2 separate regions of the Mus musculus genome follow, and region 2 is reported to be linked to region 1. The links are microRNA targets in miRTarBase. Many come from high-throughput screens and were not tested one by one. Region 1 holds a microRNA gene; the other region holds the end of a gene's coding sequence.
What was found. The annotated mature microRNA mmu-miR-3057-3p reads UCCCACAGGCCCAGCUCAUAGC and lies in region 1 at 4,230-4,251, opposite strand. An mRNA with a match to its seed (bases 2 to 7 or 8) in the 3' UTR can be bound and repressed. Matches are read on the target gene's strand: a 7mer-m8 pairs with bases 2 to 8, a 7mer-A1 pairs with bases 2 to 7 and ends in A, and an 8mer does both.

Region 1 (8,002 bases):
GGCGGCAGGGGGAGTCCAAGGTCAGCTCTGGCTACTTAGGGAATTGGAAGCCAGTCTGGGCTACATCCAACTCCATCTTTAAAAGCAATAAATAAAAGGGGAAACTGAGGCCCATGGGCGTGGCGCCAGGTGTGCGTTTAGCAAGTGAGGTGGCTCTGGATATATGGGGAGCCTTGGAGGGCTTCAGGGGGCTTAGTGTGCCTCACACAGAGAACCAGATCTTACAGGTTTCAGGACACTTAGAAAGGAGGCCCCCTGGAGGAGGCTAGGCAGAGTCTAAAGGGCAAAGTTACTGGCCACCTCATCAGGTGATACAAGTGCTGGGGTCCATGTGCAGAAAAATGGAAAATCGGGCTCTTGATGGGCTCCCTGCAGCACCTGAAGTCCTTCCTTCAGTGGAATATTACTCAGCCAGGAAAAATGAAAGCCACACCACAGGGTCTGGCTCCTGGAAGGCCCCTGCAGTCCCCATAGCCGTATAGCCACAGGGACAGGAATTGGGATGGGGGCTGAAATTGTGTGCAGTGGGGACAGCTGCAGTATGGGGAGTCAGGCTTCGTAGGACACCTCCCAACCCCCGTATAAGGGTCACAGTAGGTTCGAGAAGGGCCTGAGCACCATGGATATACCCTCATAAGTGGCATCCCCCTGCCTCCTCAGAAAGCATGTCCCGGACTGACAGCCCATCCAAGATCATCAAACTGGACACAGTGCGGGTGATCGCAGAGAGGGTAAGCACGGGGATGGGGAAGCGCCATGTTCTGTGTCCCAGCTTCACCCTGAGTTACCTCCAGGGAGCTGGGTGCTGGGGGCTCCTGAGGGACTCAGGTCCACACCCCTGAGCCTGCACTCCGGATGCTGACTGTCGTGAGCCTAAAACTAAGCTACACAGAGAGACCTGTCTCAAAGGGACAAAAAAGTAAAAAGTGACACAAGACCACTCAGCTGTGGAGGTGGCCGAGTACATTTGTAATCCCAGCTCCCTCGATGCTGAGGCAGGGGGATTCCTGGGATTCCCAAAGATCTGGCCAATAGATGAGACCCAGGATCAGACACAAAACTGGCCGTGAGAAGCTGTGGTCCGCTGTTACCACAGACACTCCGTCTGTCTTAGGATAAGCACGCACTCCTGGATGTCACCCCCTCTGCCATCGAGCGCCTCAACTACGTGCAGTACTACCCCATCGTCATCTTTTGTGCCCCAGAGAGCCGGCCGGCCCTCAAGGCCCTCCGGGAGTGGCTGGCCCCGGCCTCTCGCCGCAGCAGCCGCCGCCTGTATGCGCAGGCCCAGAAACTGCAGAAACACAGTGGCCACCTCTTCACCGGTGCGCAGGGGTGGGGATGGGGGCTCTGGTGGGGGCGGTAGTTCCTGCCTGCTGACTTAGCTCTGTCTCTCCTTCTGCACCCCCTCACCCCCGCAGCCACCATCCCCCTGCATGGCACTAGTGACTCCTGGTACCAGGAAGTCAAGGCTGTAATACAGCAACAGCAGGCGCGACCGATCTGGACCGCGGAGGACCAGGTGCTTGGTAGAGGGAGGCCATAGCCATAGCCCAGGTGAACCCCATAGGCATCCACACTGTGGCGTCCTAGTACCCAGTAGCCAATATAGTACCAAAGGAGTCCTTAGGGAAGAAAGCCTAAAGGGGTGGATAATGGGGCTGGGAGTTTGTGGAGTGCTTAGGAGTTGGTCAGAGTTGAAGGCCTCGATCTCAGATTTGGGACTTGACTTAGAATCCAGAAGCACTCGTCACAGGTCCATGGGTGACTAGAGGCTGGCATTCAGAGTATGGACCTCGGCTTCCCTTGAGATTACAATATACCCGTCCCCACAGCTGAACAGCTCATCCGAGGACCTTGACCTGCCGGGCCATGGTCTGGCCGCCAGCTCTGGAGACCTCAGCTGTGACAGTCGGACCAACAGCGACTATGAGGACACCGACGGCGAGGGCGCCTATACGGACAGAGAGGGCGGACCCCAGGATGTCGATGAGGAGGTCGCACCCACAGCCCTGGCCCGGTCCTCAGAGCCCGTATGGGTAGATGATCACCAGGGGCTGATGGGTCATGGGACAACTATCACAGACAAATGGGAGACACAGGTGGGTACTTGGCCCTGCAGGATAGGAGGACATAATCACACCCCCGACTCCCAGTACAATGCCCTCCACGCATGTCAGTTGGGGTCACTGCCTTTCTCCTTTCCCAGGCTGACAGCCACTACACCCAGGACCAGCGGCGCCAGGACAGCATGCGGTAGGTGCCCAGGAAGGATGCAGGCCTGAGAGCTTTTGCTGGGCCACTCCACACTCCACATGGTTGAGGGCTTCCTGAAGGAATGGGTGATGGGGCTGGGCTTTGTAGGATATGAAGGAGTTTCAAGTCCCAACCCACATTTAAATACCCGGCCTTGCTCATCCCTGTGCCCACCCTGCCGGGTGGGGTCAGTGCGGGTGGGTGAGGTCACACAGCACACCCAGCCACCAAGGCCCAGCACCTGCCTCCTGTCCCCCAGGACCTACAAGCACGAGGCCCTGAGGAAGAAGTTCACAAGAGCCCGGGATGTGGAATCCTCTGATGACGAGGGCTATGACTGGGGCCCAGCCACCGACCTGTGACCTATGCAGTCACCAGCGTGCCACAAGCCCTCAAGCTTCTGACCACTTAATAAATCTTTAAAAAAAATTTTTTATATTAGAAAATAATACAAGACTGAGGACTCTTTGGTCCCTGCCAGTGAAGGAGTGACGGTGGCAGGGATGAAGGCACACATGGGTGGGGCAGTCATAGGTATACTGGTTGTTCCTGTCCCGTGAGCAGTCGGTAGGTGGCAGCTGGCATGGTCTTGATGTGGATCTAGGGGTCAGAGATGAAGAGTCAGGTAGACGGGGTTGGTTTGGGTAGGACAGGATCAGGGGTGACGGGGTCAGGTGACTCCCACGCACTTCTCTTGTCTCTGTGAGCAGCTGGATGATGCGCGCATGGGGCATAGCCACCACGCTCTGCCCGTTGACCTCAATGATGCGGTGTCCAACGCGGACTCCACCACGCTCAGCAGCGCCCCCACGCAGCAGGCTACAAATCTGAGGGGGGACAACTCTCAGGACCTGCCCCTAGGCTATAGGCTAGCCTCCACTCCCTAGGCTGTATGCTAGCCCATTCCCCACACCCGGCCTAGGGGGGGGGGGTTCCCAGCCTCACGATTCCATCCTCCACACAGAAGCCCAGCTGCTCGCGCACGTGGGGCCGGCGGATGACGGCCGTGGTGACCGGTGGGCAGTGGATAATACTCAGCGTCACGGATGAAAGTCGCCGCACCTCCTGGGGGGACCCACCATGCTGCTCAGGCCTCTGCGGGCATCAGTTTACCCACCCGTCAATCTCCCAGGCAACATGGGGATGCAATCAGTGGTACCATACAGTCACTTAACTTAGGAGACCCTGTTAATGGGCTCCTATGCACCCTACAAGGCCCCTGGGAACCCCGCCCACAGAACTTTGACTCACGCGCACCGCAGCCTGGCAGGCAGCCAGCGACAGCCCCACCAGGCTGGTTCCATTGATGGCAGTGACGCGGTCCCCTATGCTCAGGGCCCCGCAGCGCTCGGCAGGGCCCCCATGGAGCAGGTTGGCAATGACCGCAGTGGGCAGTAGCGAGCCCCAGCCTGATTCAACTAGCGCGACGCCCAGGCCTTCACCTGGCCGCTTCTGGATGCAAACCTGGGAGCAGAACCAAGTTCAGGGGGCAGGGTGTGGGGTGGGGTCCCAGGAGGGGCAGGACCACATTCAGGGGCAGTGTGGGAGAAGCTGCACTTAGAGATAGAGCAGGCAGAGCCAAGCCAGGTGTAGGGAGGGCTCAACTTCGGGGAGGGGGGCAGGGTCCCATTCAGGGGAAGTGTGGGATCAGGCCCAATGCGGGTGTGCTCAGGGAGGGGGTGGGGTCTCAAAGGGGGCGGGGCCGTGTCCAGGGAGTATGGGGCCAGGTCTCGGTGGGGTGGGCTCAGCAGGCCAGGGGATAGGTCCATGGTCCCTTGGGTGGCTCTGTGTGTGCTGTGGCAGAGCAAGCACTCACCTCCCTACAGTTCTGGCTGTTGCAGAAGTGGTCCAGGTCGCCGTTGTGCGGGTGGCTGGCAGCGGTTGAGGGCTGCGTGCCCACCTGGCTGGGGTCGATCCTGTTCTCCTGTAGGAACTGGCTGTAGGCGATGCTGAAGGCCTGGCCGATGGCTTGTGCTATGAGCTGGGCCTGTGGGAGGACAATATACTCCTAATCCATCCCGCAGAATCTCAGCTCCAATGCACACACCTTCAGGACACCTCAAGGTTTCTAAGTCAAGGGTTCTTAGATGCTCTGGAGGGGGCGTAGCTCACGGCTGCTCACATCCTCTGAGTGGAAGACATGGCACAGCATCTTGTAGAGTCGCCGCTGGCGGTCCTGGGGAGTTGTCCTCCTGGCCAGCCGCCTCCGGGCCATCAAGACCAGTACAGGCCCAATGTCTGCGATGTAGGAGATGGTCTGCAGGGCATGGTCCATCAGGGCATCCTGTGGACATGCGCTGGGTGGGCTGGGGGCCTCTCAGGAACCCCAAGTGTCCACGACAGTCAAGGCCCAGCCCTCTGGGTACCTGGGAGTCAGCAGCCAACACTTTGACACGCTTGGTGGAGATAAAGATGTCCACTTCCACCATGGGCTGGGTCTCGCCTTCAGGGGCCTGCAGGGTAGGAAGGGGACACAGAAGTTAGAGGTGGTTGGGACATGGAATCCAACAGCCCAGGAACTCCACCCTGGCTCACCTTGACGCGGTCCATGGCCTCCTGCGCCTGCCCCATGCGTGTGCTGGGCGCCGGGCTGCGCTCTGACAGCAGCTGGGTGGAGCCCAGGTATTTCGCCCCGAAGATGACACCATCCATGAGCTCCTCCGGCCCACAGGGACCTGGGACTGCAGATGACAGTGAGGGGTGCGACCTCTACAGGCTCTGAGGTCCCCAATCCCTGAGCTGTTGCTCAAGAAACTCATGGTTCTGTCCACGGCTTAGCATGCACAAGATCCTGTACTAGAAGACTCCAGAGGCTCAGTGTGCGGTGGCCAGCTCTGTACCTGCCACTTTCAGGGATCCTAAGAAGTGTCACCCCTACTATGAGGCACCCTCAGGAGGAATGGACCCAAAACAGGTTGCAGGGCTCAAAGACCCCTCTTCCAGAACCTTCTGACCAAGAGTCAGAGCTCAGGGCCTCACGGTGGTGTCGTGAGTCCCTAACATTCTGGAATCAGGCAGGGCAGGGCCAGCAATTTAGCTCAATGGGTAAAGGCATTTTCAGCCAAGTAAGATACCCTGAGTTTGATCCCTGGGATACCACAAGGTGGGCAGAGAACTAACTCCCACAAGTGATCCTCTGCCATATTCGATAAATGCAAAAAAAAAAGACAGAAGATCAAGGCCGGGCGTGGTGGCACACGCCTTTAATCCCAGCACTTGGGAGGCAGAGGCAGGCGGATCTCTGAGTTCAAGGCCAGCCTGGTCTACAGAGTGAGTTCCAGGACAGCCAGGGCTACACAGAGAAACCAAAAATAACCAAAAGAAAAAGAAATAAGATAAAAATCCATGATGATCTAGAATTCTCTTCAGTCAGCCTGGAGCGTCTCAAAGTCTGGGTCCTCGATAGCCCTGAAACAATCCCACCCATGAATATTTATTTATTTATTTATTGTTTTTTTTCGAGACAGGGTTTCTCTGTATAGCCCTGGCTGTCCTGGAACTCTCTCTGTAGACCAGGCTGGCCTCAAACTAAGAAATCCTCCTGCCTCTGCCTCCCAGGTGCTGGGATTAAAGGCGTGTACCACCACTGCTTGGCTTTTTTTAAAAAGATATATACATATATATGCATATATATATGTATTATATATATAATAATAAGTAAGTACACTGTAGCTGTCTTCAGACACACCAGAAGAGGGATTCAGATCTCATTACTGGTGGTTGTGAGCCACCATGTGGTTGCTGGGATTTGAACTCAGGACCTTTGGAAGAGCAGTCAGTGCTCTTACCCACTGAGCCATCTCGCCAGCCCTGTAAATGCCATCTTTAGCTCTCAAAACTCCCCAGAGCAGCCTGGAGCTATCCTCTGTCAACCAGTGTGCTAAACCAGCATGGCTTCTAGAACATTCTACAGCTTATGTCACCTCTTTGGCCGTCTAAGATCTGCTCTCATTCAGTCCTCTCTAGACCTTGATCATCACTGGCAAACTTTGTGTCATTACTTGAGAGCCCATTTTTGGGCTGTTCTAGGACATTCTGATTTCTGTGTAAAAATGGACACTCACCCTCGGTGACGGCAGGGCACGAGGCCAGGGTCTCCCGGCTCTGGAAGATAAGAGGTGCAGGGCTGAGTCCCCAGTCATGGCTGAGGGTCAGAAGTCAGAGGTCAGAGAGGCGAGCACTATTACCTGGGTACCCACAGGTGGTTCCTGCTGTGTCACCAGGGGTGCTGTCTCCAGCCAGGGCTCCGGGGAACTGCTGGAGCTCCTGCTGTCTGCTGGCTCTGCTGATGCCCCTTCCATCCATCCCGGGTCCCCATCAGGGTCCTCTGGCGGCTGCAGAAGGCGGGGTGCAGTCTGTGCAGGATCTTGGGGGACAGATTGGGCAGGCGAAGAGGCCTCATCCCTCAGCAGACCCAGAAGGTCGTCCCCGCCTGCCTCGGCCGACAAGAGCCCACCAGCATCTGGGTTCTCCTGGGTGGCAAGTCCTTGGCCGGTAGCAATGTGCAGGGGACAGGGGGCTCCATCTGGGAATGGGCCACCCAGGTCGCTGGGTAGAGCTTCTAGCTGCTGAACCAGCTCCTGCACACTGGATGTGTCCAGCTCCATCTCACTCAGGGTGACAGGGCCTCCAGGCCCTAAGGCCGACTGGGTGTTAGAGGGGTGGTTCTCAGAGGGCACCTCGGGGCCTTTGGGCTCCTCCAAGTCCATGGTTGGGGGCCCTGGGGGATGCTGGGGTCCTGGCAGGAACTCCATGTCTGAGACCCAGGTTCAGGCCGGCATTGTCACCAAGCTGGAAGATGAGGGCTCTGAGTGTGGATCTCGTAGGCAAGCCATGGTCCTACAGGTGACAGATTCCATCCCCATGGGGCCTGCCCAGGAGGAAAGGACCCCATTTTACACAGAAGCCAGCAAAGAACTCAGGTGCCTGCCCCAGATCTCAGGCTCCAGACCTCAGAACTCAAGCAACAGACACTAGAACTGAGGCTGCGGCTATGGAACTCAGGCATTGCCCCTGGGAACTCAAGCACTGCCCCCGGGAACTCAGGCTTCTGTCTCTAGAACTCAGGCTCTGGTCTCAAAAACCCAGGCTCCGGACCCTAGAACTCAGGCTCCAGCCCCAAAACTCAGGCTTTAGGTCGTGGAACTCAGGCTGTTGCCCCAGAATTCAGGCACTGGTCCTGAGAACTCAGCCTCTAGCCCCTAGAACTCAGGCTCTGACCCTTGAAACTCAGGCTCCGTCCCCAGAACTCAGATTTCAGTCTCAGAACTCAGACACTGCCCTTGGGTCACCCACGGGAGCCTGTCCAGTCCCGCACGGCCCGCAGTACCTGTGTCTCCGGCCCGGGCAGGATTGTCCGGACGGTCCGCCCGTCCTTCCAGAAGAGTCAGCAGCTCTCTGGGATCCCAGCTTTGGAACCGGATCATCGGTCACTGCACCATCCAGGACTATTGCGCATACACACTCTCAAACGGCCTGCTGGGAAATGTAGTCCTCGAGTCCGCTCTCTCTCCTTCCGGGGACTCGCCAGTGTTGCAGTATAGATAGTAGAGCTCAGGTTCGAATCCCGAGACTACAAGAACGGAGGCGAGGCTCAAACTGGCTTTTCTTTTCTAAAATCGGGTTCTGCATCACTTCAGAGTGTAACGGCTGAGGTAGGACATGGGCAGAAACCAGGGATGGTAAAGAGAGCCATGACTTGAAAATTTGGAGTGCAAAGGAAAAGTGGGAATGGAAGTTATTGAGG
Region 2 (7,946 bases), not on the chromosome of region 1:
GTTGGGAGGGAGTGTCATTTAAATTTTTCTCTAGGTTTCTTTCTCTCTGTGGGTGTGCCATGACACATATTTGCAGTCCAGAATCCTTTTGTTGTTGTTGTTGTTGTTGTTGTTACTTTTTTTTAATTTAGTACATGAGTATTTTGCCTGGATGCATATCTGTGCACCATGTGTGTGCAGTGCTCACAGAGGACAGAAGAGGGCACCAGATCCCCAGGAACTGGAGTTACAGGGTTTTTGTGGTTTTTTGTTTTGTTTTGTTTTTGTTTTTTGAGACTGCATCTGTGGGGATCCCTGCAAACTCTGCAACCTGCAGCAATATAATCCTGGGAGAGACGGGAGTGGAACTCGGTTCAGCCCAACTCAGCCAGTGCTAGGTCAGACTTCCGGAGTCTCACACCAGGTGCTTTCATTTAGTCATATTTACGCGCTGTACAATTTTGGAAAAGTTTCCTGAAGACAGTTAACTCAGTCCCTAGTGTAAAACAAGGCTTAAGAAGCATTTACATGGGGGGGCTGGTGAGATGGCTCAGCAGTTAAGATCGCCGACTGTCCTTCCAAAGGTCCTGAGTTCAAATCCCAGCAACCACATGGTGGTTCACAACCATCTGCAATGAGATCTGATGCCCTCTTCTGGTGTGTCTGAAGACAGCTACAATGTACCTAGATATAATAATAAATAACTCTAAAAAAAAAAAGTATTTACAGTGTAACTCTGTACAAAGTCCATATGCTTCTCCCATAGAGATGGGTTCTGCTGACTTAGAAACAATGCCCTAGATAAGGCTCTAGGAGAAGGTCTGAGGGAGTCAGGGTTGGCCCAGCCCTAAGAGAATTTAGAAGTCACTTAGCTGTGAAGTGACATCTCAGAGGTGGATTTTATGGAGTGAGAAGCAATGCTTAAGATTTTGGGGGTAGCCTGGAATAAACAAAAGTAATATTCCGGGGTATTCAGGTGATGCCTGGCCCTACAGATTACAAAACATCACCAGACTGTAACCTGCACCCTTTTCGCATTTCAGATGGAAGACAGGTAAACATGTCCTTCCTTTGAAGAGAGGAGTATTCATGTTTTAACCATTCCTGGTTCCCTAGTACTTATCTGTATGCAACGTACGTCCTCTATAGCATCTCAGCCTTGCCCTGGGCTGGCCTTGAACTCAGTATGTAGTTGAGTATTATTACCTTGAACTTCGATTGTCCTGCCTCCCCTTCCTGAGTGTTGGGATCATAGACATATAATCCACATGCCTAGTTTTTAAAAACTGAATGTTTGGGGCCAGAAAGAAGGCTCAGTAGTTAAGAGCACTGGCTGCTCTACCAGAGAACACAGATTTGGTGACCAGCACTCATGTGGCAGCTCACAACTGTTCATTAACTCCAGTTTCAGGGCATCCAATTCCCTCTTGTGGCCTCCGTAGGCACCAGGCCCATGCAGATATACATACAAGTAAAACACTCATGTGCGTAAAGTGAAAATCAGTAAGATGGTTTTGGTTTTTTGGTTGGTTGGTTTTGGTTTTTTTGATTCAGGGTTTCTCTGTGTAGCCCTGGCTGTCCTGGAACTCACTCTGTAGACCAGGCTGGCCTCGAACTCAGAAATCCGCCTGCCTCTGCCTCCCAAGTGCTGGGATTAAAAGCACGTGCCACCACTGCCCGGCAGTAAAATGTTTAAAAATTCATCTTTAGTAGATTTTGGAAAGCGGGAAGGCTAGTGTTTCATTCAATGATTAACGAATTAGAAACAGCAAGTAACATGTTAAGTCATAAATGGAGTATGGATTTGTTGTGATCTGTTGTATTCCAAATCCTTATGTTTTTTTAATATGGTTTATTCTAAGAGAGTTTTGTCTGCAAATAGTTTGCTATCATTAAAGTTGAATTCAAAACACTGAGGTCATTGAGGAATTCATTTATAGTACCCCTTCAGGTGCCATCTATAGTACCCCTTTAGGTGCCAACACAGTAAGCTCAAACCTTCCCTTTGAGTATGCTTTAGAAGTGGGAGTGGGGGTAGGGCATGATTCGGCCCTTCGTAAAGGACCACCTGACTGAGCTGAGAGCAGCTCAGGCTCAGGGGTGTCCATGAGATGAGGAGCTGATGTCTGCCCAGGCGCTCATGCGTTTCATTGAACCGTTCTCTCAGGTACGATGAGATGAGTGTCCTCTTCTCAGTTCTGGTCACTGAGACTACGCTGGAAAATGGGCTAATCCAGCTGCGGAGCAGAGACACCACGATGAAGGAAATGATGCACATATCCAAGCTGAGAGACTTCCTGGTCAAGTACCTAGCGTCAGCTAGCAATGTGTAGGTCTTCATATTCTCTAATAAATATTCTCTGTTGAGTTCATTCGCTTACATTAATACAGTTTTGGACTTTTGTATTTATAAAGTAGATATTTGATTCATTTTTTATTGTCCTTTTGATATGGTCTGTAGTGGTTTGAATATGGCCCCACGGAGTTTCACTATTTGGAGGTGTGGCCTTGGAGTACGTGTGTCACTGTGGGTGTGGGCTTTAAGATACCTGCCTGGACACTGCCATGCTCTTGCCTTGATGATACTGGACTGAACCTCTGAACCTGAAAGCCAGACCCAGTTAAATGTTGCCCTTTATGAGAGTTGCCTTGGTCATGGTGTCTGTTCACAGCAGTAAAACCCTAACTAAAGACATGGTTTATTAAGAACACAAAACTAGCCAGGCATAGTGGTATGCACCTTTCTTCCCAGCACTCGGGTGACAGCGGCAGGCAGATCTCTGAGTTTGAGGCCAGTCTGGTTTACAGAGTGAGTTCCAGGACAGCCAGGGTTACACAGAGAAACCATGTCTTAAAAAAGAAAAAGAAAATCTCTCCAACTCCAATTTATTTAATTATGTGTTTAGGTGTGTCTGTGCACATGAGTGTAGTGCCTGCAGATGCCAGAAGAGGGCGATGGATCCTTTGGAAACAATGTTATTGGCAGCTTGAGTTGTGGGATGTAGACTCTGGACTCAAACTCCCATCCTTTGGAAGAGTAGTGTCTGCTCTTTTTTTTTTTTTTTTTTTTAGATTTATTTATTATTATACATAAATACACTGTAGCTGTCTTCAGATGCGCCAGAAGAGGGCATCAGATCTTATTATGGTTGGTTGTGAGCCACCATGTGGTTGCTGGGATTTGAACTCAGGACCTTGATGGAAGAACAGTCCGTGCTCTTACCCACAGAGCCATCTCACCAGCCCTAGTGTCTGCTCTTAACTGCTGAACCACCTCCTCGGCCCCAAGATAATTGTGTTGGGAAGGGAGAAGGTGGAAGGCCACAAAACCTAAGTATGTTTTAACTCTTATCAAGCCTGGCTACTTGGATAACAAGATTAGTGCCCAAATTAGCCAAAGAAATAGTGTCCAGATGTGTAAAATACACTCACTATAGGTGACCAGGTTAAATCTTTTTTTGATTTTGTGTTTTAAGACAAGGTCTTGCTATGTAGTCCCAGCTGGCCTCAAACTCAGGATCCTCCTGCCTCAGCCTAGAATGGAACTCTTAAGTGCCAGGTGAGTTTCCTATTTTCTCATACACAGCTTACTGGAAAGTCTTTACACTGGGATACAGTCAGTTTCTTCACACTTCAGTGGGTGAGTTCAGAGTAGATGTAATCAGCTTTTCCATCCGTACCACCTTCTGAAATTGAAGAGAGACAATAACTCAGTAAGCTACAGCCATGAGTTCATAGAAACTCTTAAAAAGAACGCCCTTCTCGGGTGTGTTGGCTTAGGGGCCAACAGCACTGGCCACCAAGCTTGATGACATCAGTTCTATGCCAGGGCTCCACACGGAGGAAGGAGAGAGCTGTCTCCTCCAGCTTGTCCTGACTTCCTGCACATACCATGGCATATGCTGGCCCATACACAAGAAGTAAATATAATAGATTAGTTTTATTTAAAATCCCCATTTCTAGATGGGCAACCTGAAAGAAGCAAGTATTAACTGGTCTTTTCCAGTTTAATAACAATTTATTCTGTGTGTGTGTGTGTGTGTGTGTGTGTGTGTGTGGTGTATATGGGGGGTCATGAAGGCCATAGGAGGCCATTACATTTCCCGTCCTATCACTTCCTACCTTATTCTCCTGAGATAGGGTCTTTCACTAAACCTGAAGCTAGGCTGGATGCCAGTGAGCCCCAGAAGTCTCTGCATCTCTGCATCTCACAGGCCCAAGCACAGCTTTTTGCATAAGAGATCAGGATTCAAACTCAAATCCTCACACAAGTGAGGTAGGTAAGTGCTCTTAGCCCCAGAGCCATCTCCCCAGCACTGATTTCTTCCTGAAAATGTTTTAGTAGTGACCCTGTGTCCTCTATTGGGAACTTCTTTTGGGGGAGGGGGGCATTGTTGAGTTGTTGAGGTTCTATTTAATCTGTTTGTTTGTTTGTGTTTTCAAAACAGGGTTTCTCTGGGTAGCTCTGGCTGTCCTGGAACTCACTCTGTAGACCAGGCTAGCCTCAAACTTACAGAGATCTGCTTGCCTCTGACTCCCAGAGTGTTGGGATTAAAGGTGTGTTCCACCACCACCTTTCTGAGTTGAAGACCAGCCTGGTCTATCAGAGCTACACATAGAAAACCCTGCCTTGAAAAACCCAGAAGAGGGCTGGAGAGATGGCTCAGAGGTTAAGAGCACTGACTACTCTTCCAGAGGTCCTGAGTTCAATTCCCAGCAACCACATGGTGGCTCACAACCATCTGTAATGATATCCTGTGCCCTCTTCTGGTGTGTCTGAAGACAGCTACAGTGTACGCATATAAATAAATCTAATATAGATAGATAGATAGATAGTCTAATATATATATATATATATAGAGAGAGAGAGAGAGAGAGAGAGAGAATGAATGAGAGATATCCCAGAAGAAAAAAGGAGATTTTATTTTAATTTTAACTAATGGGGGTGTGGCAGTATGTACATGTGAACATAAGTACCCGTGGAGACCAGAAGCACAGATATCTCTGGTGCTGAAGTAGCAATGGGTCCTAAGCCACTGGATATGAGTGCTGGGATGTGAACTCGGGTCCTCTGGAGCACAGTACACGCTCATAAATGCAAAGCCATTTCTCCAGCCTGTCTTGGAAGTATTTAGAGGATAGCCCCTACCCTGCTTTCCCTACACGCACTTCTACAGCTGTCACTGTGATTATATTAAAGTTACATTAATTACATTAGTAGGAGTTGTGATTGGTTAGTGTTGATTTGTTGGGAGCCTGGAGTCCGCAAACCCCTCTTTAGATACAAAGCCCCTGTTCACAGTGATGTCTCGGGGACTCATTGCTACAGCATCTCTTGTCCTATCACCACTCACCTTCTTCCATGGGTGCCATCTCCTTGAAGACTGGAGTGGCATAGTGTATCTCCTGGGGTTGCTCTGCAAAAGATAGGGCATAAGTGTTACTGGGCCAGAGCTTGGATCCTCTGTCCATGGGAGGGCAGTGGTGTGGGGCCTAGACCAAGCACTTCCCCACTGGGGTTGTGGAAACACATTGTCACTCCCAGCCCCGACCCAGGCTCCTCCTTGGCAAGAAGGGAACACCAGAAACTGGGAGCTGGTGCTGGTGTATCAGGGCTTACACAGTGCTCAAAACGTACAAAGGGCTCTGAGGGGCTGATTAAATTGGAGGCCTTTGTTAGCTGGGCCTTTCCACCATGAAGCATCCGACATACAATGTCTGCTTTGATAAGTGACTAAATAGTGTACAGTTGGGTGACTCTAGCTAATACTGCAGCCCTGTAAAGCGCTAAGGAAGCAGTTTTATCTCGTTTTCTCTAGCACTTGACTGGCACGGGTGGCGCCCTTGGGTTTGATCCCAAGCATTGTAAAAGACAAACCAGCAAACAAGAATGAGATGTGCTCGATTCTGCAGCATGCAGACTAAAATAGAAAGACGCACAGAGAAGGTTTTCATGGCCTCTATGCAAAGATGACACACAAATTAAGTCCCATTGGTAATCCTAGGACCTGGGAGGATTGTTAGGAGTTTGAGATCATCCTGGGCTACACAGTGAGTACAAAGCTGACCTAGGCTAGATGCTAATACAGTTTTCATTTGTTGTCAAGACTGATATTTTTAAAGAGCAGTTTGTTGGATGTAGTATCATAGTCCGGTGATCCCAGCACTCAAGAGGCTGAGGCAGGAGGGTAACAAGTTCGAAGCTAGTCTGGGCTACTTGGCATGACTCTGAAAAGAAAACAAATGAACAACATAAACTTCTTTAAACAATGATCACAAGAGACTGGGATAGAGCGTGGGTCATCCCAAACTGAAAGAAAGTCATCTCTAAAATATATCACCTGAAAAAAAAAATATCAAAGGATAGAATGGAAAATCACCCATCTGGGAGGGGCTCTGAACACTGGCCGAAGACCCTGGGAGACGGGAGGCAGAGGTGGGAAGCTGATATGGTTATTATTTTGCTTCCTTTTTTAAAAAATAGCCTGTGTCTCTGGAGAATTATTTTATTTTTATTTCATTTTATTTTAAATAAGCAGCGCTGTGTAGAGTACTTATCTAGCATGTGTGGACACCTTGGGGTCAAGAACCAGTGCCATGGCATATATACACGTGTATACACACCTGTGTATACAGTCACCCCCAGACCAAACAACCAGACTGCTCAAAACAGCCAGCAAAGCCCTTTACCTGTCTGAGTCTTGCAGGCGTTGACATACAGCTCGTCCTGTGCAGGCGCATCTCCAGAACCCTTGGACTGGTCCTCTCTCTGAGTCTTCTTTCCTGCTCCCCCACAAAGCAAGACATAATCATTAGGTTGAACTATCTAGACATGTTTTTCCTTTCTTCTCTGCCAAGGGGAAGAATCTCTCATGATTCTAAGTGACATGCCAGTGGCTTCAACTAATGGCGGGGGGGGGGGGGATCACAGGTTTCTATATAGCACAGAGTCATCTGGATCAGGGTCCTCCCGACCAGGCCCTGGGAGGAAATGGAGTAGAGAGCCTTGAGTTATCTTCAAGAGATGAGCAATACAACTAACTTCTATGTTGGCAGGAATCAAAAATTTTTTTTTTGGTTGATTGGTTGGTTTCATTTTTCTGAGACAGGGTTTCTCTGTGTAGCCCTGACTGTCCCGAAACTCACTTAGTATACAAGGCTGGCCTTGAACTCTCAAAGGTCTGCCTGCCTCTGCCTCCCAAATGCTGGGATCAGCAGCATGTTCCACCAAACATCTTCATGGCACTTGGGCAAAAACTCAGGGTGATTTCATTGTTGAGATGTTTGAGAAGCTGGGTTAAGTAGGGTGTCTGTTTTCAAGGGGCTTTAAGAGTATGGGTTTGTCTTGGAGTCTGTGCTGGGTCTTGTGTAAGCTAAGCAGGGGCCGTACCATTGCTTTTGTATCAGCTGAGTGCTGCTGCCCTCCGTGACCCTTATCCATGTAGAGATGGAGAGAGCACAGGGACCTGATATCTGTGAGTCTCACTAATTCAGACAGTATCTCCACAGCCCTATTCCATAGGCCGGAAGGCGGAGGCCGGGAGAAACAAAGGCAGGCGCCAGGTACCCAACAGCCCTGGGCCTGGCACCTTGTGTGCTTGCGACACAAATGCTATTTTATGCAAATCTAGATATTTCTCCACACATATGTGCGCCCAGTGAAAGGGCCACTTTGAAATCTTTACCAGCGAAGGGCTGAGAGGTGAGCAGGGAGAATCTTCTACCCAGAGAGTGAAGGTTTGTTGTTGTCCCTATTGGGAAGACAGAGACTTGTTCACACACCAAGCTCCCCCCCCCCCCGCCCCCCCAGGGACAGCTGAGAAGCAGAAGGCTCCGCCCTTTGAGGGGCTTCTGCTTTGCACAGACTACACGCAATGCAGTGAATGTCAGAAGCACTGTTGACAGTGGCCAAGCATGGGGACCAGTGTGGGGAAATAACCAGAGGCTTTCACGCAAATCAGCTGGTT

Region 2: the mRNA of Milr1 is a reported target of mmu-miR-3057-3p. Seed matches in the 3' UTR shown: 7mer-m8 at 3,202-3,208.

Annotation. Positions count from the first base shown.
Region 1 is chr10:81,267,903-81,275,904 of GRCm38, reverse strand. It overlaps Mir3057 (microRNA 3057), which reads right to left and starts at 4,308; the gene lies at 4,218-4,308. It overlaps Apba3 (amyloid beta (A4) precursor protein-binding, family A, member 3), which reads right to left and starts at 7,733. Exons shown (of 11, transcript NM_018758.2): 1 at 7,586-7,733; 2 at 6,444-7,126; 3 at 6,321-6,360; 4 at 4,792-4,937; 5 at 4,623-4,709; 6 at 4,379-4,540; 7 at 4,073-4,243; 8 at 3,508-3,720; 9 at 3,202-3,321; 10 at 2,946-3,083; 11 at 2,658-2,856. The coding sequence starts at 7,010. The coding sequence ends at 2,785. Tjp3 (tight junction protein 3) reads left to right here. Exons shown (of 21, transcript NM_013769.3): 16 at 661-731; 17 at 1,115-1,325; 18 at 1,422-1,522; 19 at 1,836-2,102; 20 at 2,210-2,256; 21 at 2,516-2,717. The coding sequence ends at 2,618.
Region 2 is chr11:106,762,672-106,770,617 of GRCm38, reverse strand. Milr1 (mast cell immunoglobulin like receptor 1) reads right to left here. Exons shown (of 7, transcript NM_001033435.3): 5 at 6,670-6,762; 6 at 5,334-5,396; 7 at 2,853-3,665. The coding sequence ends at 3,613. It overlaps Polg2 (polymerase (DNA directed), gamma 2, accessory subunit), which reads left to right. Exons shown (of 8, transcript NM_015810.2): 8 at 2,147-2,414. The coding sequence ends at 2,312. Among named protein-coding and RNA genes, the nearest start is that of Polg2, 13 kb to the left of the region's middle.